Linked DNA regions of Caenorhabditis elegans. The protein of the gene in region 1 purifies or fractionates together with the protein of each later gene. This does not show direct contact. Each region holds a gene or a part of one and is shown on either strand. Other genes may lie near its edges. The genes, in order: lin-13 and snpc-3.4.

Region 1 (12,064 bases):
TTCCGTCTTGTGATGGTGCATCGTACGAGCAAAGCTGACACTTGTTTCTAAGAATGTGCACCGAATCAAAATGATCGCAAAACTCGATGGGTGAGTTGAAAAACTTGTTAGGACTGCAAGTACATGAATAGACTCGCCCACCGCCGCTTGCACATTCGTGTTCGTAGTACTCTCCAACACTGACGAAGACTTTGATACAGTATGCACATTGGAAGCGTCGAAGTGTGAGAGCATGTGAACGTTGAATATGAACTCGATTTGCAAGTGGATCATTGGATTTTACCCCGCAAATGGTGCATCGTGATACACGTTTGCATCGGAATAAAATATGGGATGACATAAATCGGTGATGTTCTTGACAGAATGCGCAGCACTGAAAATATTTAATTTAAAACGAACACAAAAAATGAATTTCTTACAGCTTGTCCAGATATCTGCACCACATGTTCTTGAATCAAATGTTTCTGAAGATCGAAATGTGTCGGAGTATTCGCAGCACAGAACGGGCAGTTAGCCCATTTTTCTGGATGATCGTCCATGTGATGCGTGAGCTCATCGTACGAGTCGAACGTCAGTTCGCACATGTAGCACATTAATCGAGGATCAATATTCTTATCTTTTGGAGGACATACAGTAAATGATCCCATAGGTGGATCTCTTGCTGGAAGTCGATTCAATTCAACACCATGAATTGGCAATGCACTGATTTTAACTTGTTTCAATCGATAATCCGGGCTTCTTGGATCAACAACAGATTGCTCGATGGCTCTCAATGATTCATAGCTACGACCATATCCTCCATTCTCTCCATGATTATATCGAATTCCTACATCTCTTGCTGGTGGAAGAAGTTCTCCAGTTGCAAGAACATATTCAATCGTTGAAAAATGTCGATTTAGCATGTGCACAAAAATACGTTCAACTTGATGAATCTCCGGACAAGAAGGGCATTGCCCGCAGAGTGTTGCTCCTCGTCCTTTTATTTCAGCGAATAGTCTGGAGCACACATGGGTCCTTCGTGTATTTTGACTGGAAAATGCTTTTCCACATGATGGGCAAGGATGGGTATGGAAGCGTGTGAGATGATCGACGAACTGGTTGAGGCTTTCATATTCCCGATCACACCACGAACAAGAGTACCAACGAGACTGAAACATTATAAGATTTTTTAATACGAATTGGTGAAAATTTGGTATACAAACAACTATTAATGAATTCAAACGCCTTGAGTATGAAGAATATCAACTTACAGTTCTCGGAACTTTATACGGTTTGATACGTTGTCCTGGTCGGATTGCAGGTGTAAGTGTATATGGACGCATAAGTTCATTGGGTGCAATAATATCTGGTCGTACCAAACTGTACGCAGGTTTGATTTGTTGTGGCTGCTGCCTGATCGGCATGGGACGTGGTTGATCTTTCGCCTCCAATAATCCAGAAAATGGCATGAAGCATTCAATATCGGTGAATCGAGCAAGATATGTTCTTTCGTCGAATTGTAATTGAGTGAAATGTTTTGCCATCAACATAAGCGATCGATCAAATCGATTTTCAGAGAAATTATCGAGTTCACCGGAAACTAATTCAAGCGTTGCTTGCTTGGAATGTACATCACTGAGATGAGTTTTCAAGGATATCACGGAGCATAGGTGAGCTTTGCATTCGGGATCGATGCACCGAACACCTGCGTGTGGACCAGATGCAGCATGATAAACTTCGATAAGATCGTCCTGAAAATATTCATATCCATAACATACTTTATATAAAAATAAAAATTCATACCTCTGTAACTTCGCAGCTCAAGCAATGTACTACTGGATCTTTGGAGAAAATATAGTTGCATTTGGTACAGAAGTAGAAGCTGAAAATGTTAACGATAATTGATAATAACGCAGAATAGATTCTCTTACATTTTGTTAACCAGCAGCAAGTCCTTCAATGGGTCTATACAATTCGATGCAGGAAGTGATATAGTTCGAATGCAACTCATTGCAATATCGTCCGCTAGGGTACTTTGGATTGAATTCAGATGCACCATGCGAGATTCCTCTAGTATTCTCAGCGCTTCTTCAGGATCAAGAAGACGTTCTCTGGACAATAAAACGTGCTTCTTGTATACTTTTTCAATTCGTTTTCTAGCCTCCTTTTCCGATTCGGGCCGCTCGAAAAACTTATTTCTATTAATATGTTCATATCCCAAATCTCCACGAATCTTGATATTTCTTTTCTTCTTTTGTTTGCTTGATGTGAAATCATCACTATCGGAATCAGAATCAGAAGAAGACGAAGATTGATTATCTTGTTCTAGAAGACTTTTCTGAAAATCTTCTTCACCAGAGGACTCTCCCGGTTCGTATGAAAATTCCTTCTCGTTACTATCAGTAATATTACGATTTTCCTTCTTAGTTTTTGCATGCTTCCACCGAAGTAGTTTTTTGCGGATAGTGTACTCATCTGGCTGAAATTTGAATATTTTAGAACTTGAAATGCTTCACTGCACTCTACCTCTACAAATTCACTTTTTTTGTTTTCTGATGCTTCAAGAGCTTGTACTTCTCCGCTAGTGAGTCCTCCGATCGCAGGAATACTCGATCCAAAACCGACATATGGCAAACGTCCAGAACTCGGTGGTGGTTGGTAAGTAGCCGACATTTGTAAATAGTTGGCGAACTGTGCGGTTTGAGTTGTATGTGATTGCGCGTGATGTCTAAAATTTGAAGAAATAAAGAAAAAAGTTTCGAAGCAATTAAAAATAAATATCTTTAAATTGTATTTGTTGTCTGAGTGTCTAAGACCAAAAATTTCATTAAAAAAACATTTTTGGAAAGTAACACTCTGCTTTTATAATTCGCTTCGCGTTTATATTCCACAGTTCTATAATCATCTTATCAATAATTTTCATAAGATTAACTTGAATAGTGGTTGAAACTTCATGAACTATTTTTTTCTAATGAAAACTCACTTCAACATAAACTCGGTTCCAAATGTTTTTCCGCATTTTATACAGGTATGATTAGCCTCGTGTTTTTCTTTGAAATGCTCTTCGATTTCAACAACAGAATGAAATTCTTCAATGTTACATTCAGAACAACTCAGCGGAAGTCCAATGTTTAGTTCAGACATCACTTGAAATTGAATTCGTATTCCTTTCCCTTCATCTTTCAACGGTTTTGGGAAGTAAGCAACGACCGGAACCAACGGTTGACAAGAATGGTTCATCTGTAAAAATAATTGTAATCAGAGAAAAAAATGTATAATCACTCATGACTCACCAATGCAGTTGCAAAATACGTCCATCCTTTCTTTCCTTCGCCTGATGGTTTTACCGACAGCCACAATCCGCACTGAGAACAGCAGAGGTACATGTACGCGGCTTCAAGATGTAAAGTTTGCTGTTTGAAAGTTAATTGACGCAGGTACTCCGCAAACTCTTTGCAATCGTGTTTAGTTAATTCATATCGAGACGGATAAACTCTGTAACAGATATCACATCCGAAAAGGTGAACCACGTCATGATGTCCTAGGTAGTGTTCAATAGTTTCACACATATTTAAGAACAATGGCTGATTTTCACAGCAATTTGGGCGAACAGTTGTCCCGCGCGCAATCGGACTTGGCTGGAAAACTTTTGATTTAGATAAATATCAACAACCGTAAATTTTACCGGATGACGCGGGTCCGTGACCGAGATTTCGGAAAGCGGCATCGGCATATTTTGAACAAAAAGTCTTGAATCGAACACATCCTTCCTTGCAGCATACTCCCAATCACGACGAAACGTTGGAGGCATTGCATTGTATACATGACGAATACTTTTCAATAGGATTTCGTCATGATCTTCATTATTTGCCCCAACGATACAAAGTTTATCGACAGTTTGCCTGAATTTTAAATTGAGAATCTGAACGTTGCTTTAGAAACTAACATTATCGAAAAAATCTGGTTATCACTGAGCCATGCACAAAACCGTCGAAATCCTCCAGAAGCCCTCCGTACAGCAGGTTGTGAATCTAGTCGGAATCCAATTACTCGTTCACCTTCTGCTCGCGCATCTTCTGCTAATGGGACAATCGTTTTAAACACATCTTCTTGTTTTGGAGGTCTTGAATATTGACTAGCATAGGTTGGTAAACCCGGAACTTGAAATTGACGGGATGCGCCTTTTGCATTAGGTTTCTTCTTTCGGCCAGAATTACCCTCATTTTCTTCCATATAATTTTCGTCCAGCTCATCTCGTGTTCTTTTCGGCTTTTTCCGGTTCCCTCGGCTTCCAAAATCGGTAACCAGTGACTGAGCTTGAGCTTCGTCACCTCGTTCAATACTCGCGTAGTTTACTGATCTACGGGGTCGGGAAGAGTGTCCAAATGTGGATAACGGAGCTTTCGATTCAAGAGGATCTCTGAAATATTCAATGTAAGTGTAAATATAATTCCTTTTTGATTTATGGTAATGAAAAAATAAAAATTTAACCAGGTATTTAGATTTCGTTCAGTTAAATGAAAACTCGGTGAAACTCAGTCTAAATTGAATTTAAAAAATTACCTGATGCAAGAAAAATGTGAGGCCCCACGAAAAGGGGAGCAGAACGAAAAGGGGATCTGCAAAAAGGGGATCTGCGAAAAGGGGAGATACGAAAAGGGGAGCTGGCACTGTGCCAAACGCACAAAACGCTTTTTTTATTCTCATTCAACGCACGCATTATTTGTGTATTTTACGCTAAACAACGCGCGATGCGTAATAACGGAGTGTGGTTATAACAAAGTCGTGCGTTGAATGAGAATAAAAAAGCGTTTTGTGCGTTTGGCACTGTGCCAGCTCCCCTTTTCGTTGCTCCCCTTTTCGTATCTCCCCTTTTCGTATCTCCCCTTTTCGCAGATCCCCTTTTTGCAGATCCCCTTTTCGTTCTGCTCCCCTTTTCGTGGGGCCTCAAAAATGTGAATTGCGAATGAGGAAAGTGCGCTCTAGTGGCACAAATTTAAATAAATTCGCACAAATTTAGCAATTTTAACAAATGTTTGACTGTGAATGCTTTCTAAGTGCATTTTTGAAAGTTTCCTTGAATAACTTAAACTTAACCTACTTTTTATATTCTTCTGATCCTCTCTTCCTCTTGACAGCAGGCTCTTTCATATCCTTTTGCATAAAATCAGCAAGCCGTTGTGCCTCCTCTTCTTCTCTCTGTTTGGCAGCTGCTATCTCATGACTGAGATCAGATAATCCTGTACGCAGTGGAGCGCTTTGATTGTTATTCGCTTGCTGAAACTTTCTCTGGGGTAATTTAAACAACTTGATTACTGATTCTCACCTCATCTGGAACTTCTGGCTCCTCCGTTTTAACGAGTGGGGCTGTTTGGTTGAGCTGTTGAAACAGCTCAAACTCATCCATAGTTGTTATTTGGAGAGCTGAAATTTTTTTTGAAAAAGGCAACAGAAAAAAATGAGAGAACTGAACGAAAAGAATGACTGGAGATAAGCTTTATCTCAAAAAAAAACTAAAATATCAATCTACATGAACTTCCAGTTTGAATCAAAGATAATTATTCAAGAATCTATCATATGTTCTCGAAATTAATTTACGCCTAACTTGCGTATTTTTAAACGTTTGTTCGGTTTTTTACGATGTATAGTGAATACCAGTAACTTAATTGTTTCAAATTTGCGCGTGAAATATACTGCAATTCGTTGGCTAACCTCACTACTATGATACAAATTTTATACGGGGCGCGGTTATGTGGGCGTGTCCGACCCATTGAACACACTTATAAGAACTCTTTAAAATGTTTAGGTTTTTTATTAGATAAGTTTATTTCATTGGAGGTCTAATGATTTCAAAAAACCGAACTCTGAACTTTCGTGAGCCCTTTCCCACTAATTACTGATCTCGACACGACTACACGCAGAATCAGCGCACATCCTGTCATACTTCAAACTCAATATATTTTAAAACCCCCGAAAAAATAATATTCTCATTTAAAAAAGCAAAATCCGGAAACGTGTTACGGAATCGACAAAAATTTTGAAACTGCGACAAAAATTTTTACCGATCTTTTGGCGCGCATTGGAATTGAGAATTTGAAGGCTGTGTCATATAGAAAGTACCGCAGAGCGTATATGCCACTCTGCGTCTCTCATATTTATTGGTCAGACGGACAAACGATGGTAGGAAGACTATGAGCAGCGGAGAGGGCGCAGAGAAACGAGACCTATTTCTTTGCCCTGCTGCAGTGTCTACTGCAACGGGGCTAGCAAGGACGAATCGATTGGAGAAAAAAGAAAAGTGAATGGGTTTTGCCCAAAGTGTTTGCGTACATTACGGCGCTATATTTGACGACAGTTTGAAATATTTAAAAATTTAGCTGTGCAACTACAGTAATCCACGGAAACAAATTCAAAAAGGACTGGGGTCTAAAACGGTCAGATGATTCAAAATAAAGAAGGGTATCTGTAAATGGATACTGTACACTGAAAATAATAAAATGTTCTGTCGCGTAAGTACAGACCCCAAAAATTAGGCAGAACTTTCGAAAACTGTGCAAACACACCAACCAGTTTTATTATCGTAATTTCGCAACAAATTTCACTCGTCAGTTTAAAGGCACACGTTGTTTTTCTGAGCGGGTCTCGCCACGATCACAGTCATAGTGATCGCTACAGGTGCCACATTTTTCAGATTTATTCATTTGAAAAAAGTACATTGTTAAATTCTATAGATTTGAACAGTATACAGCTCCGAAATTAGAAAACAGCTAAAGTGGAAATTCGAGCAAGCCCACATTTGAACCCAATGAGCAGGAAAAATAAAATAAAAGCAAGAAAACTTAAAGAAGCGCTCAGTCAAGAACTCTGCAACTATAGTGTGGTCTTGCAGCGATAATTTTACTGTACTCTAAACTATATTTATTTTCTCTAGAAAACAAAATAATATTCAAAAACACACTACACATTTTTCCGGTCCCGTGTGTGTTAATGTTCACCACGGCGCACAATTGCGGACACTTCGCGGCGGTCAATACAATTTTAGGCCACTGCAGGGAAGAGAGAAAGTGGGCGGCGGCAGCCCGCGTAAATAACCAGCCACACACGAAACGAGACTGAATAAATGAAAAACCGCGACGCAGCCGCTGTGCACGATTTCTCGTTTGGGATACCTTCAGAAAATTTACAAAAGTGAGGAACGGGTGGCGTGACCGCGACGCGACCGCAACGCAGAATCAATAACTCCAAAATAGGATTAAAGTTTAAAAATCAGTCAATAAATAACTTTGAGAAGAGAAATTAGGATAGAATTAAGATTCGATATTGATTTGAAAAGTTAATACTGGGCTTAGGAAAAGTTAATACTGGAACTTTGCAATATAAATTAATTTGTAGTGTTACTAAAAGAATTTTAATTTTGAAATTTTAGAAAAAATTAGAAGAACAATAATCAAAAAACTAAACTTTTGGATTTACTGAAAACATTTGAAAAGGGAAATGTAAATAACTGTAGAAACAGGAAAATGTCGAGCAATGCGAATTTCGGTAGAGCGCACTTCCATAATTCGAAAACCGCAACGCGCACGCAACGCACAGGATTTACGGAAACAGGAAAGGAGGAACCAAAAATTCGGTTTCGCGCACGCTTATTTCGCAACCCTCGCGCGTTTTTTTTTCACAGCAAGGTTAGAACATTTTAAGAAAAAAAGCATGCGGGGGTTATGAAAACACACTACCGAAAATAAATAGAATGAATTTCGAAAATTATTTTCACCGATATCATTTGCTACAGCTGTTGAAGCTTCAACTATGAGTACAGTTATGCGGAAAAATACTTTTTAAAAATTAATTTTTGGGACTACAAAGTCTGTATTTTAAACTACCATTGGTACGATGCGGTGCGAATCGGGAGGTGGTCTTCATTAGAGCGCGATTGTTAATTCAACCGCGACGTGCACGCGACGCTCTCAAAAAATGTTCAAAATTTGAAAATAAGAGAGAAAAAAACACGCCAGCTGACAACTGCGTCAGCAAAACTGGTCTTGGTTCACATTGGCAGTGCGTACAACACACCTTATCTTACGCGCAAGTTGGATATGATTTTCCAGGCGAGACCCGACTGAAGATGTACGCTCACGCGAAAAATACGGATTTTATTTGTTTTGATAACTTCGGATGGAAAAAAAAGAAAAAAACCAATTTTGTTAAATTGTAAAAATAGTTAGTATAAAACGCGTAACGATAATTCATTTCTCATTTTTTTCAATTTACAACTACTTGTTTCAAGGCTAGCAAAGATACCGTATGGATAGGTGAGTATCGATAGAATTTCTCGAGTTAAAAAAATTAGTTTAAAAAAATTTAACTTTTATCAGATCAATAGCAAAAATGTTATCAAACCAACAGATTCGCAATTTTTCACGCGGAGTTGGTCACTTACGTAGAAGAGCTGCAAAAAATAACGTGATAAAAGTTAGGCCTGAAGAGTAAGTCTAAATCATTTACCCAATTCTTGTAACTTTCCTGAAAGTCCTATTTGAAAGTTTAGGCTCCGCCCATTTTTCAATCAATATTCTGTTCTTCCGAATGGAATACAAAACGATGCAGATGCAAAGCTTTTTTCCAAGGAGCTCCAACCGGGAGAACGGAAACTTTTATTTGATGCTTTGAGAAAGATCAGTGAGTTCTTGCTAAGCAGCTACCTTAAAATAAAAAAATCTTACAGCCGCCGATCAGTATAATGATCACAAAAAGGTGGTAGAAGTTACTATTGATCATGAAGATTTAGTAAAAGTCTGGTATATAAATTTCATTCCAATGTTCGTTTACGGATGTCTCGATGAAGCATTTTTAATCATTGGCGGTGAAAGCATCAACAAGTAAGCTCGCAGAAAAAAATTTCGACCACGGCAGGATTCGAACCTGCAATCTTCTGCTCCGTAGGCAGACGCGTCACAGGTAAAGCGCGACAGGTTAGTGGCAGCTGAATGGCAGGTTAAAAGCCGCCAGCAGGTTAGTGTCAGCTTAGTATCAGGCTAAAAGTCGCTGTCGGACTAAGAGCAGGTTAGTGTCAGCTTAGTATCAGGCTAAAAGTCGCTGTCGGACTAAGAGCAGGTTAGTGTCAGCTTAGTGATTTTCGCTCAAATTTTCAGAAAAGCGCGTCAGGTGAACGGCGAGTAAGTGTCAGGTGATGGGTCAGACGAGTGAAAATGGAAGTTTCAGAAACTGAGTGAAAGTTCATAAAAATGAGTTATATGTTCATTCGTGTAAATTTCTGAAAATATAATTTCCAGAAATACAGATTCGGGGTTACCGCACCGGATCATGAACCGCGTCAGGCGAGTGTCAGGTTAAGAGCAGGCTAAGAACCGGCAAATGGTAACTGGCAGGTTACTGTCAGGCAAAGTTTTCTTGGCTCAAAAACATTTTTCAGTACGATCTGTTACGTTTTAGGGAAATTTTCGAAAAGTAAAAAATGTCTGAAAATAAATATTTCCAGAAATACAGTTTTTTGGTTACCGCACCGAATAATGAACCGCGTCAGGCGAGTGTCAGGTTAGGAGCAGGCTAAGAGCCGGCAAATGCCAACTGACAGGTTACTGTCAGGCAAAGTTTTGACTGAAACACCAATAATGAATGGATAAAACTGAATGTTAAAAAATATTTTGCTTGGGTAGGAAATGTTTATTTTAGTATTTTCCAAAGTTTTCATGGCTCAATCACACTCCTGACCAAAAAAATATCACTGTCAATTTGGCGTGTTCATAGAAAGTCAGTACTTCCAAATCCGAAGGTCCCCCCTTATGAAAATTTTCTAAAAAATTTTTTCGAAATTTTTTTTTGAAAACTTTTCATAATTTGATCAGATGTTATAGAAAAATGTAAAATTAATTGTTTTTTTCAGCTTCGATGTTCTGAACACGAGTTCAAACAAAAACCTGAGGTATTGTAGAACTCCAACTACAAAGTTGTTTATTTTAATCTAAAGTACAATTTTGTAGTTGAGGATATTTCATCAAAAAATTTCATGGTCGAGATAAAGTTGTGTGAAATGCAGCAACTTCATGCTTGTATTTTCTTCTTCTTTTTCTGTTTGTATCTCGGCCATCAAATTTTTTGATAAAAAACGATTAACTGCAAAATTGTACTTTATATTAAGATAAACAACTTTGTAGTTGATCACTTTGTCATAAAAAATTATTACACGGAGATATCAGCATCCGAAGTGAGTGCGTTTTTTGAACTTAGGAGTTCTACAATACCTCAGGCTTTTGTTTGAACTCGTGTTCAGAACATCGAAGCTAAAAAAACAATTAATTTTACATTTTTCTATAACATTTGATGAAATTATTAAAATTTTCAAAAATTTTTAAATTTTTTTTTGAAAACTTTTCATAAGGGGGGACCCTTTGGATTTTTTTTCAAGAAAATCCAAAAAAAAAATGTTTTTTCAAAAGTTGTCAAATATTTATCAGATATGGTAAAAATATGTTTTCCTAACTGCATCTATGTACTTTCTTGCAAAATGTGGTGCTTTCGAAAACTAAGAAACTGTAAAAACCTCTATTCCTCTAACTCATCTACCTACTATGCCAGTCATTCGAAGTCATGTCCCACATCGGGCAAGCAAGATATCAAAAAACTGTCAACTACAAACTTGATCAGGTTGTTATGGAACATGTTTCATGTTTCATAGTTTCTTGCTTTCTGTGCAGAGTACGGAGATATCATAAGTCAAAAAATAGTAATATTTGATTCATAATTAGGTGCTCCTACCTGCTCAGCCATCCGAGATCGCAAAAAGTTACAATAAGTAATTTGTCAATCCCGTTATTCCTAACAACTTTTTAGTTGACAAGTTTTTCATATTTCAGCTGCCTGCGGAGCTAGAACATTTTGGATGTACTGACTTTCTATGAACAAGCCAAATCGACTGTTGTATTTTTTTTGCCCAGGAGTATGATTGATCCATGAAAACTGTGGAAAATTCTAAAATTTACATTTCCTACACAATCCAGCAGTATTAAATTTTTTTGGAAGAAAAATATTTTCCCAAAACTTTTTCATAAGGGGGGACCCTTATTAATTTTAAAATTAGTGGAAAATATTTTTAATTACATTTTACTGAACTCAATTTTTTTCAATTATTTGTTGGTTTTAATCACAAATCACATTTACGACTCAAAGTGATTTTTTCTTTTCTACGAATTCAATATAAGAGCGAGAAAGCATTTCAAAAGAAGCTCCAAACTCAGATGGCAACGACACTCCGAAATAACGGTAGCGCGCCCTCTTTAGCGTAAATCCTCCTCATTTTCGAAATTATTTGTTCACGATTTTTTCTTCTTTTTCTTCGTTTTTTCTTTGTTTTCTTCATCAATTCTTTGATTTTTCGGCAAAAATAATTATTTCCCGTATATTTATTGGTGTTTCAGCATTTTCGACATTGACGCGAACGATTGGGATGGCACGGAAATAGCTGGATGAGAGAATTACCGGCGGTGGCGACAACATTGCTTCGCGAAAAACTAAAGATGGAAGAAAAGGTTAGAGTTGAACTCAAAAATGAAGTTATTCATAACAATTTATGTTTTCAGAGTCGTGCAGAGTCGTCGCCTCTTCGACATTGACCACAAGCGTCCGCTAAACCACCTCATCCTTCCATTTTGATGAAAATCAACGTAAAAAGGAACTAAAAAATGAAGAAGCTTTGAAGTAGATTCAAAAGAAAGTAGAAGTCCTCGTGGATCTTGCTCTCCCAATGTTCAATATTGATAAAATGCGATTTCAACTGGTTGGAATGACGTCGATGATGATCACAGTGTATGTTCATAATAAAATATTTCAATGTAATGTAAATTTTAAAAAATTTAGAAAATACGACGAAATCTTCCCACCAATCGAGTACCCGACATTATTTTGATGGATTGATTCTTGATTGGAAAGTTCGAATTTGTCGTCGCTAAGCCCACACCATCTTGGCTCGGATCATGCTTTGCAAAGAGAATTAACCTTACAAAGTGAGTTTTAAAATCATAATTTTTTAGCGTTTGGAAAAAACTAGTGATTTCTCTCAACTTTAACGTTA
Region 2 (11,402 bases), 3.7 Mb from region 1:
ACTTAATTCCAGTGAATGATTATTGAAGTGAGATTGACTGATTAGTTGGAGACCGCCCATCGTTTGAAGTGCCTGAAAAGAGACAATTTATTTGCTGAATACCGTATGTATTCCAACCTTATCAACATTTTTGACAATTCCTGGATATTTGATTAGGACCAGCTGCTGCGGCTCCTCGCGTTTTTGTTGTGTGAAATTGAGAAAATCGTTCATTTTTCCTGAAATAAGTTGTTATTCTTTAAGGTGGTCTAAATATTTGATAAAGATTGCAAATATTCGAAATAAATTTAAACGGTTGAATTAATTTCGAATTGCCGCATAAGTTCCGAGTTGCGTATTGTGCGTCAAAACACGCTTCTTAATTTAATTATACGAGTAAAAGCGTGTTTCGACGCACAATACGTATACGCCTGTCGAGTGAATTCAATAGTTTTAAAAACTCAAATTTAAATATATAAAAATGGTTTACAAAACCAATCAGATGAAATCCAATTAAAAAAGAACAATAAAATTTTTAAATGTCCAGCATTTCCTTTTTTCTATAAAAAATACCAGTAAAAACATAAAGTTTTTGCAAAATAAATAGAAATAAATATCAAAATTATTTCAATCATCTTCTTGTTCAAAATCTCCAAACGGCCATCCTCTTTGCTCTCCAGTCTGTAGTTCTGTATACGGCCAAGCAATGAATGAATGCGTCTTGACACCATGCACATAGTTGAACTCCTGGAAGCATGTCCTGCAGAAGTGTGTGTAGGTGTTGGGAAGAAGCTCGTGGCGTTCGACGACGAATCTGGAAATGTAAAATTTTAAATTAATTTACTTTGAGGAAAAACAATAATTTTTGCGAATTAAACTTACTCCACATGCCCTTTTTTACAAATATCACATTTCTTTTCATTTCCCTTCTCGTATAAGGTGAATGGATATTTATCGATTCCCCACGGGTCCGATTCATGAAGAAGTCGCAAATCATGAAAAACGAGTAGATGTTCACAATTCCCAGAATGCTGGAATATGTACGGCTGCCCTAGACGCAGCTTCAGGTCAATAATTCTGACTCCTTCCATACTACAAGCCTCCACTGGATCATAAATCTCGCGGTGAAGCATAAAGTTGCGGATTGGGCTGAAAAATGTTTTTAAACATTTTTCTAAAGAAAATTACTAATTACTGTGAAATGTCAATTGCATTGGGTGGCATATCCACATAAAAGGTATCATGAACAAATATAAATGATGATGGAAATCGAACTGCGGTTGCATTATCCAAATTCGGTGGATCCAGCTCCAAACCATTCTCCAATGGAACAATTGTATCACTTTGACATACCTGAAAGTTTAAAAAAAATTAAATATTTAATGTGTGTTTTAAATTCAAAAAATCATACAAATTTCTGCCGTAAATCCGAAAGAAGGGTGTCTCCACGAACAAGAAACTTGGTCATTGGCTTCAAAAGTCGCGAGCTCCGAAGTTCAGAAGATAAAAGTTCTCGATTGTATGGCATCAGTGCATCAACGATAAGGACAATGTCATCTTCACATTTCTCTAATATTGAACATTGAGGATGGAAAAGCTGGAAAAATTATTTTATAAAGATTTTTATTTTTATTAATTAATTTACAGAAGTATTTGCTCCGGCGTTCAACATGTATTTGTCATATTTCAGTGACGTGACATATGCGGACTTCCGCTGCCTTGAAGTTTTCATAGTCTTTTCTCGACTTATCACATGTCTGAAAAATTATAGTTTTTGAATAAAAGGTTTAAATAATATTTACTTGTGGGAAACTAGCGGTGATCGTTCGAGGAACTTGCGATCCCCCTTCATATCTTCAAATCGTCGAGTTTGAACGTCTGATGACCCCTCCAGAAACATATCGAGGCTGAAAATCAATAAAATTAGTTGTTTTTCGATTTTTTGAAATTTACTTTACTTTGAAACTTCTTCAATAGCTTCCAATGATTCTTCTTCTGTTACTCCTTGAATATAAGACAGACTGTTCTTCCACATTTCCATTTCATGTTCTTTTTCGGTTTTTGAATCGAAATCGTCCATTGTTCTATCGATAATAACTGAAAATTCGACAATATTCGATTGTTTTAAGATAATAAACTAACCTTCTCCCAACTCTCGAACTTCCAGCATCTCTTCCTTCACTGTGGCTAAATTGAGCAGTGGAGAAATATACCATTGTTCATCAGAATTGAACTTTCTGTCCATTTATTTAAAAATTGAATTCAAACAGTTATACGGAGGAGAAAGTTGGATAAAAGAATTCGAAAAATTGCTTTTTCAAAAAAAAAAACAATTTTCTGGAGGGGTACGGTGTACAACGGTGTTTGCACAGTTTATTGTACACCGACGCGCAATAATGCACATTTGTGTGCGCGGGAAATTTTGTTGGGCGGCAAATTTTGAATTTTAGGCCTCGAACATTCCCTCTTTTTGTCATTCTCATCTTCATTCGCTACTTTTTTTTGCAATTTTTTGCCTAAAACGCTTTCAAGCTACTTCTGCATCGTTTCGCGCTTTAAATTTGCAAATGGTCTGTCCTAAAACGTTCTGCCCCTCATTTTAGCTTCCTTTTTCTGTTCCATTTCCTGTGAAAGGTGACTCATTCATAAACTATTCCCTTCTCAGCGGTTTAGGAGACTGGGGAAATTGTAATTTTGTAGTTTTATTCGTGATTGATGCATAAAATTGCATAAAATAGGCCGCCATAATCTTTCTTGAAGGTCAGCCACCGTGTTTATCTGATATATAATTATTATGTCCTTGCTGCGATCAGCTCAACCGGGCGCAATAGGCGGATACCATTCATCATTTTCGACATGTACAAGTACTTCTCGTGTAACATATTTGCACAGCTTGTCATGGTTTCTGGTTATTCGGGTCATTTTAGTATCTGTTCCATTATAATTTCCCCAAAAAACTGTTTGCTGTTTGTTTCTGTTCTTATCATTTCCCTAGATTGCGTGTTATCAGCTCAAATTCTTCTGTTGTTTCTACTTTTCGGCGCCGAATGAATCACAGAAATAGAATTTCTCTTTGCAACTGATTAATATTTTGAGTTCCACTTTTTCAGTTGGCTAGTTCCTTAACTTCGTAAGCCAGGCGCGTCGTCTTTTCAAATTGCTAGATGGATGGGCACATTTTTTGAAATGCCTCGCCTGTGGCGGGTTGGTAAGGGACACCGCTGTCGCCCGTTGGTCAAGGCCGTCACAAAGCATTCGCGTCCCTGTCCATCCGAAACATAGAGGGCGCGGAGAGAAAAACGACGGGAGAAGGGAGGGAAGCACGGGCGGCGCCAGTCTCTATGTTTCTCGCTTGGTATAATGTGTCTCATCGACAACGGAAAGTGGGGGTAAGAGTAGAGCTCTTTTTCGTCCCCAGCGCCGACACACGACCCTTAACTCGACTTTTTTCGTCAGTTATTTCTTGGAATTTTTTTTTGAAGCTTCCCGTTGATTTGGATTGTATTTTAAAATCGTTATCCAACCAGCAACTGATCTAGATAGTACCCATTAACATTGTCTCCTGGCGCGTGTACTACGGTAATTGACCTTTCTCTGACTGGCTGCATGTGTGACGAAGTATTGGCTGCATATGTATCGTATTGTATAGGCGACCCCAAGCCGATTGTCACTGCCACGTCATCTCCGTTTCTCTTTTCTCCGCAATTCTCAATTCACCACCACCGCAGCCGTCAACAGGGGTACGATTTCCATCGCATTGAACTAGTTTTTGTCCCTCGTTTTTCTTCACGGTTCGTCTTCATCTCTTTTATTCTGAAGGCTTTTCAAAGCTGCAGGCCCCCAGCACATTTCATTCGGTTCCCATAGGATTACTGCGCGCCAAGCGGCATCTCCCTCTCTACCCCAAACCAATAGCACCAAATTGCACCCGATGAAAAGCCATCTGTGTCGTGTGCTCTATCTCCTTCTGCCAAACCTAGTGGTGACACGCAAAACAAATGGATTAAGCAAAAAGAGAGGGAATTGATGGACATTTTGTGTATGTTTCGCAATAGATTTGCCTCTGCTCTCTTCCTCTTCACCCATTCTACCCATATCTGCATATTTCGCAATAGTCTATTCGATTTCACCACCCTTTGCAGTCCAACAACGACTGCTGCCCCAGTGGCCACTGCGGTTTTTAATGCGAGCGGGCGCCGCGCGCCCCGTGTTCTCGCGATTATCGATCCGAATGCACACAGCGTCGGACACAACTGCGCCCGACCCGCCTCTTCTTCGTCTCCATTCCATACATCCCAAGAGCTGCATGTCTGCTCCTACAACGTCCTTTTGTTTCCTTTTTGGGGTAGCGATTATGAAAAGTGGGCTCATTTTAGAGCAAATAGAAAGGTACTTGCGCTGAAATTTTTATCGAAAGTAGTTAATTTCGGAGTGCAATAAACTAGAATCAACCTATATAGAATAGAAAAGAATCACCAATTAAACATCTCTTATATTTTTCAAGGTAACCTTATTCAACCTTATTCCTAATTCGTCTTTTAATTTCTTATTTTCGCCGTGAATCATTTAATTTCAGAGCACAATAAACTAGAATCAAATCACCAATTAAACATCTCTCAAATTTCAATGTATTAAAAAAACTTACTCCTTTAATTTTAAATTTTTGCCGTGAATCATTGCTTTTCAATATCGACCATGACGTGTTCTCTTTCTTTTGTTATTTTCCTTCATCTTCTCTATCTAAATATAGTTTTTCAATTCATTACGACCTTTTCAGCAAAAATGAGAGAGATCGTCCACGTGCAAGCCGGACAATGCGGAAACCAAATCGGATCCAAATTCTGGGAGGTCATCTCCGACGAGCACGGAATCCAGCCAGACGGAACCTTCAAGGGAGAGACGGATCTCCAGCTTGAGCGCATTGACGTCTACTACAACGAAGCCAACAGTGAGTTTTTAAAATTTTCTGGAGATTTCGAAATCGTTTAGTTGGAATGATTAATTAATTAAATTTTTTCAGACGGAAAGTATGTGCCACGCGCCGTGTTGGTCGATCTCGAACCAGGAACCATGGATTCTGTCCGCTCTGGACCATTCGGCCAGCTGTTCCGTCCTGACAACTTTGTGTTCGGACAAAGCGGAGCCGGAAACAACTGGGCCAAGGGTCACTACACAGAAGGAGCTGAGCTTGTCGACAATGTGCTTGACGTGATCCGCAAGGAAGCCGAAGGATGCGATTGTCTTCAAGGATTCCAACTCACTCACTCTCTCGGAGGAGGAACCGGATCTGGAATGGGAACACTTCTCATCTCCAAAATCCGCGAAGAGTACCCAGACAGAATCATGAGCTCATTCTCGGTTGTACCATCGCCAAAGGTGTCCGACACAGTTGTAGAACCATACAATGCCACCCTCTCCGTCCACCAGCTTGTTGAGAACACCGATGAGACCTACTGCATTGACAACGAGGCCCTCTACGACATCTGCTACCGTACCCTCAAACTCACCAACCCAACCTACGGTGATTTGAACCATCTTGGTAAGTTATTATTTCTTGTTCAAGTTTAAGTTATGCACAAGTTACCCAAATTGAAACCTAATAATTACAATTTTCAGTATCCCTCACCATGTCCGGAGTTACCACCTGTCTCCGATTCCCAGGACAGCTCAATGCCGATCTCCGCAAGCTTGCCGTCAACATGGTTCCATTCCCACGTCTTCACTTCTTCATGCCAGGATTCGCACCACTTTCCGCCAAGGGAACCCAGGCTTACCGTGCCCTTACCGTCGCCGAGCTCACCCAACAAATGTTCGATGCCAAGAACATGATGGCTGCCTGTGACCCAAGACACGGACGTTACCTGACCGTGGCCGCTATGTTCCGTGGACGCATGTCGATGAGAGAGGTTGACGAGCAAATGCTCAACGTTCAGAACAAGAACTCGTCCTACTTCGTCGAATGGATCCCGAACAACGTCAAGACCGCCGTTTGTGACATCCCACCAAGAGGACTCAAGATGGCTGCCACCTTCGTTGGAAACTCGACCGCTATCCAAGAGCTTTTCAAGCGTATCTCAGAGCAGTTCACTGGTAAGAAATTTGAAACTATCATCCAGTATCAGTTTTAAAAACGTTATTTTTTCAGCTATGTTCCGCCGCAAGGCTTTCCTCCATTGGTACACTGGAGAAGGAATGGACGAGATGGAGTTCACCGAAGCCGAGAGCAACATGAACGATCTCATCTCAGAATACCAACAATACCAAGAAGCAACTGCCGAAGACGACGTCGACGGATACGCTGAGGGAGAAGCTGGAGAGACTTACGAATCGGAGCAATAAATGCAAGATCCTTTCAAGCATTCCCTTCTTCTCTATCACTCTTCTTTCTTTTTGTCAAAAAATTCTCTCGCTAATTTATTTGCTTTTTTAATGTTATTATTTTATGACTTTTTATAGTCACTGAAAAGTTTGCATCTGAGTGAAGTGAATGCTATCAAAATGTGATTCTGTCTGATGTACTTTCACAATCTCTCTTCAATTCCATTTTGAAGTGCTTTAAACCCGAAAGGTTGAGAAAAATGCGAGCGCTCAAATATTTGTATTGTGTTCGTTGAGTGACCCAACAAAAAGAGGAAACTTTATTGTGCCGCCAAGAAAAAAGTCTCATTGCCTAAGAGAAACATATGTGGTTGGAAATCTTCCAGATCGTGGATCAATTGAAGAATTGTCATGTTGGCTTATAACGTGCCCAATGAGCCAATCATCTCCTATTCGATCCTCGACAAGAACACATTGACCTTCTCTAATCTTAAAATAATTCAGATTTATAATATAGATCTCAATTAAATAGAGCCACCTCAATCTCGTCAGCATGCTTCGGCTCAAAATCATAAAGAACTCTACAAATTGTCGGTGGACTTGAAGTGGGCTCATCGAAAGTTGTAGTTGTTCGAATAGGACCACCATTTGATGATGTTGTTGTTGTTGAGTAGAAACCGTCGTCGGATATCTGAAGATTGAAAAATGATTACTACTTACATGGGTTTTTCGCGGCAGAAATACGGTACGCGGTCTCGATACGAAAAAGGGTGTTTAATTCGAAGAGGCGTGCGCCTTTAAATAGTACTGTAATTTAAAACTTATTGGTGTGGAATTTTTTATCGATTTTTGATTGAGATTTATTGAAAAACTATGAAAAGAAACAGAATTTATAATTAACAGTAATTTTTAAAGGCGCACGCCTCTTCGAATTTAACAACTGTTTTCGTTTCAAGATTGTATTTTAAGATTGTATAGAAGATTGTATTTTTGGCTTAAAATCGTAAGTTTTTGGTAATATTCGAAGTGAAAATAATTTTAAAATTCGTAATAAAAACTAAATATACCTTTTCATATTCTTCGTACTCTCCACTGCCACGTGGTGACGGATAAGCAGTTGATGCTTCCATTGATAGACAAGGTGGTGGAAGACTGTTATTATCACCGGATAATGGAATTGTGAGAATTGTCATTGGAAGACCCTGTAAAAATGTTTTATTAATATGTTATTCTTCGCCTGGTGCGGAATGGGTTTCGGTACGAAAAAAATTGAAAATTTTGTTTGGCGCCAATAATATGGTACCCGGTCTCGAAACGACACATTTATGTTCAATACAAAAAGCTGTGAACCATTGAAGTGTACTGTAATTAAACTTTTCTTGTTGCCGCATTTTCATCGATTTTTCATAGTTTTTGGAAGAAATAAAAGCTTGAAGCTACAGTACTCTTTAAAGACGCACTCATTCTTGTATTAAACACAAATTTGTCGTTACGAGACCGAGTACCGTTTTTTGTTGAAAAATCACAAAATGTCGTGTCTAAAGACTAGAATTGATAAATTGTTTTATTTTCTAATTTTTTTTCGAAAATCTCATAATTTTATTTGAGTTTTTAAAAATTGTAAAAAGCTTACCGATTTATCTTTAATCTTATGTTGAAACCTGGATAATCTGTGAAAACCTCGATTTTGACCTCCATCCACAATATTTATTGAATCATTCAACTTGTAGTACAGATATTCGATGAATTCCAAAACGCTCTGGAATTATTAGATATTCTGGTTTTTCCTATTGTTTTCAATTAAAAAAATGAAAATAGGCATAAAGTAGGCATGCATTCTTTCCAAAAACCCACAATTTGCTTTGAATTAGACACCATAACGTCAGCTGTCTGATTGTTGTAAAGTCTCTTCAATTCTGAATCCAATACTCCTGAAACTCGTTCAAGATTCTGACGGCGTCGTGTCGAAGACATGACTTCTCCGAAATTTTCAGCCTGAAAACGAAAAAGTAATATAAATTTATTTTTGAACAATTGCAATTTCGAAAAAAATGTTTTGGAAAAATGGCAAATTCAAAAATGTTAGAGTTTTTCAGTTAGAAGGTTATTATCCAGACGCAAAATGTTGCGATTTTTCCGCCAAAATACGGCTACTGGAGAAATTTTTGTTAATAGAGAAAAAGTGTGTGTCTTCAAAGAATACTTGAGTTTCTGTGGAGTTGTATATTATTAGATAGATTTAGATTTTCTGTTTAGATAGATCTTTGATAAACTTAAATATAACAATAAAAACACATAAAGTTTCAACAAATCGTGAGAAAAAACTACAGTACTATTTAAAGGCGCACACCTTTTCGGCCGCCGATTTTTTCTTCTACCACGGTTGCTCCGTGCTCTAGGAAAGTAATTCCCGTAGAAAAGACTTACATGAAGATCAATCAGGGTAATATGATTGACAGCTGAAGTTGATGGTTGAATAGTTTGAATATAATCCTCCGGAACAGAATCTACCGCAAGTTCAAGATTATTCGAATGCCTTTCAAACATCTGAAAATAAAATATTGACTAATTTCAAAATTTCACTTTCCCTAACTTGTCTCAAATTCGGTCCCAACGTCTCAATCTTTCTCTTATACCGTCCCAATGCAGTTTGACAATGAGCTAATCTCTGTCTCTCCACTGATTCCATACTCTCTACACCTTTTCGTAACACATTTTCAGTCATTCTTCTCTGCTTTTCCAGATCAACAGTCTGCCATACATAATCATCTTCACTTCGAATCATCTGATCTTTGTACTTTTTCCGGCGAAGTGCAAACTTCTCCGGTTGAGCTTTTTCTCGTTCAGCCGAGTTTTCAGTCTTTTCAAGCTCTTTCGCCAACACGTACAGACTTCGTTTCATTTTTTGAGTTTCATCTTTCTTATCCTTCAATTTTCGAATTTCTCGCTCTACGAAATTGTCGGCTGCTCGAATAGTTTTTTGCTGATTTGATTGAATTGATCTAAGAGGTTGTATGATATCTTCAGTGATTGCAGATCCTAAGTTACTGTGAATAGTAGCATGAATATCAAATTGTTCTGCCACATTTGTCCAGCCTTTATCGATACCTCTGAAATAAGATATTTTGCAAATTTTTGAATGTATGTATGCCCCTTTAAAATATAGTCTTTTTTTAAAGACACACTATAGTTTCCATCAATTTTTTTGAAAAATTGTTAAATTCTGAATTACCAAATTAAAAAAATCAAATCCTTGACTTTCTCGCCAAAATATTTTGAACAAATTATGCAATTTTGAATTTAGCATCTACTCACGATTCAACGCTTTGTGTCAATTTATGCAACCGAATTGATATCTTTTTCAATGTTTTCGAATAATGAAAATCAAGCGCTGCTTTCTCTTCAAAAGCAGTCACAACTTCGGCAAGTAACTCGTTATTGTTGCGAATCAGGTCTCGTAGTTGCCGGAAATTGCTCGGTGTCTGCAAAGAAATTTTGATGTTGGCAGGTGGCTTGTTTGATTTTCTAAGAGCATTGCATACACAAATAATTGAAACACGGTAAATAATTCATGTGATCTTTCGAGGAAAAAAACTTACAGCAAACTTATCTACTAATGTAGTATTTGACATAGTTGGCAAGTCAACAAGTCCATTAAGACTATTCTGTCGGCTCAATGAGCTGTTCAACTGAAATACACTGCGGGATATACTCCGGCGAAGTTTTGACATTCGGGAGTTCATTTTGATGGCTGGAATGAAAATTATAAACGTTTTCAGGTAATCTAGTTGAGACAAAAGGTAATTCAAGTAGGTATAAAGTAGGTGGCAAATGAGTAGGAATATAGCCAAGTAGGCAGGCGTGTAGGCATAAATCCTTGCCTACCTTACTATTACTTAAAAGTACAACAAAGACAAAATAATTCTTGGTTATAATTTTTCAATTTTCACAAAAAAAAAAGAAAACACCTACGAAGAATTTTGTGTCAAATAAACTGAAACCTTTTCAAAAAGCATGGTTCAATAAACTCTCCGAGCAAAAATATTGAACCGGAAACAACTTTTTTCTCAGGAACTTCTCGAAAACAGCAAGCTTTTTCTTAGATCGAATTTTAGTGCATTACTTTACACAACGTATAGGTTTTCATAGGCCCTTTCACTCTGGGACACCTGCTAGATGTTGTTAGTCACCAGTAAAGAATGAGGGCTTTTTTGCAAAAAAAATTATAGGAAAGCAGAAAAAGCAGAAAAATGTGAACATTAAAATTTATATGATGAGTTCAATTCAAAATCTGTCTTCAAGGCGTCTGATTTGTACATAAGAACTTTCAAATGAAGAAAAAAAAAGGAAATATGCAAGTAGGTAGGCATGAAAAATTACATGCCTACGGAAAGCGATAAAATCATTGACAGGAAAAATTAATTTGAACAGAAGAAAATTGGTCATCGGAGGTCATCACTATCGCAAGTTTAAATCGATTAAGGTCACATTGGAGAGGGATGATGAATTGTTGAAAAATAGAAAAATAGATTGTAAATTTGGAAATAAATTAGAGAAAAATTGTTATTAATGAGGATTGAACATTAGATAGCGGAATTACTGTATATTCCTTATTGCATTCCTTTCTCAACTTTGACAGCACATAATTTAATTGCTTTTTAACTTATCAAAAAAATTTTAACTACAAAAAAATAGAAAAATAGTTAATACGTATTTTTTAGTTAGCAATTATTTGAAAAAACCAATAGAAACTGAGATATGTATACACTGTCAAAATTTCTAAAAGTAAAATCAATAAATGAATATTTTCAAAACCAAAAAATGGGCACGTCGTGGGCAGTTAGAATGAGTCAGCTGGAAAAAATCGGAAATTCAATTCTTATCATTTAGTTCTGCATTTTTTTTTGTGATAAAATTGGAAACAATAAAGTCACAGGTAGGGAGTAGAATTGTGATGGATGCGATATGACATGTTTGTTCACTCGAATAAAAGTAACCAAACATATAATATTTGATATTAAAAATTATTTAAAGTAAATATCCTGCTTGTATATTTGTCATTTTTGAGTTTATCAAAAAATGTTTAACTTTGAAAATATAGGTAA

The links.
Region 2: the proteins of lin-13 (region 1) and snpc-3.4 fractionate together in Caenorhabditis elegans (co-fractionation; one large-scale study listed by BioGRID). This does not show direct contact.

Annotation. Positions count from the first base shown.
Region 1 is NC_003281.10:7,704,087-7,716,150, forward strand, and holds the start of lin-13 (Zinc finger protein lin-13), read right to left. Parts: upstream 5,406-12,064; 5' UTR 5,387-5,405; coding exon 5,306-5,386; intron 5,263-5,305; coding exon 5,081-5,262; intron 4,400-5,080; coding exon 3,926-4,399; intron 3,882-3,925; coding exon 3,665-3,881; intron 3,618-3,664; coding exon 3,273-3,617; intron 3,220-3,272; coding exon 2,963-3,219; intron 2,926-2,962; exon of another isoform or gene 2,776-2,925; intron 2,708-2,775; coding exon 2,506-2,707; intron 2,459-2,505; coding exon 1,911-2,458; intron 1,862-1,910; coding exon 1,783-1,861; intron 1,731-1,782; coding exon 1,251-1,730; intron 1,149-1,250; coding exon 420-1,148; intron 374-419; coding exon 1-373. Other genes in the region: C03B8.3 (TMEM65 family protein), read left to right, coding at 8,281-8,288, 8,352-8,462, 8,525-8,655, 8,702-8,855. UniProt on the Caenorhabditis elegans protein: Involved in repression of vulval fate, possibly by a tumor suppressor protein Rb-mediated mechanism. May act in a common pathway with retinoblastoma-like protein homolog lin-35 and hpl-2 to influence the ER stress response in the intestine.
Region 2 is NC_003281.10:4,010,982-4,022,383, reverse strand, and holds snpc-3.4 (snRNA-activating protein complex subunit 3), read right to left. Parts: upstream 2,348-11,402; 5' UTR 2,225-2,347; coding exon 2,122-2,224; intron 2,077-2,121; coding exon 1,938-2,076; intron 1,887-1,937; coding exon 1,782-1,886; intron 1,737-1,781; coding exon 1,625-1,736; intron 1,577-1,624; coding exon 1,391-1,576; intron 1,333-1,390; coding exon 1,175-1,332; intron 1,129-1,174; coding exon 862-1,128; intron 794-861; coding exon 607-793; 3' UTR 501-606; downstream 1-500. Other genes in the region: tftc-5 (General transcription factor 3C polypeptide 5), read right to left, coding at 1-72, 118-213; tbb-2 (Tubulin beta-2 chain), read left to right, coding at 4,762-4,927, 5,000-5,518, 5,596-6,069, 6,125-6,318; C36E8.4 (SH3 domain-containing protein), read right to left, coding at 6,643-6,786, 6,836-6,988, 7,365-7,499, 7,931-8,056, 8,152-8,292, 8,725-8,844, 8,891-9,407, 9,613-9,779 and 1 more.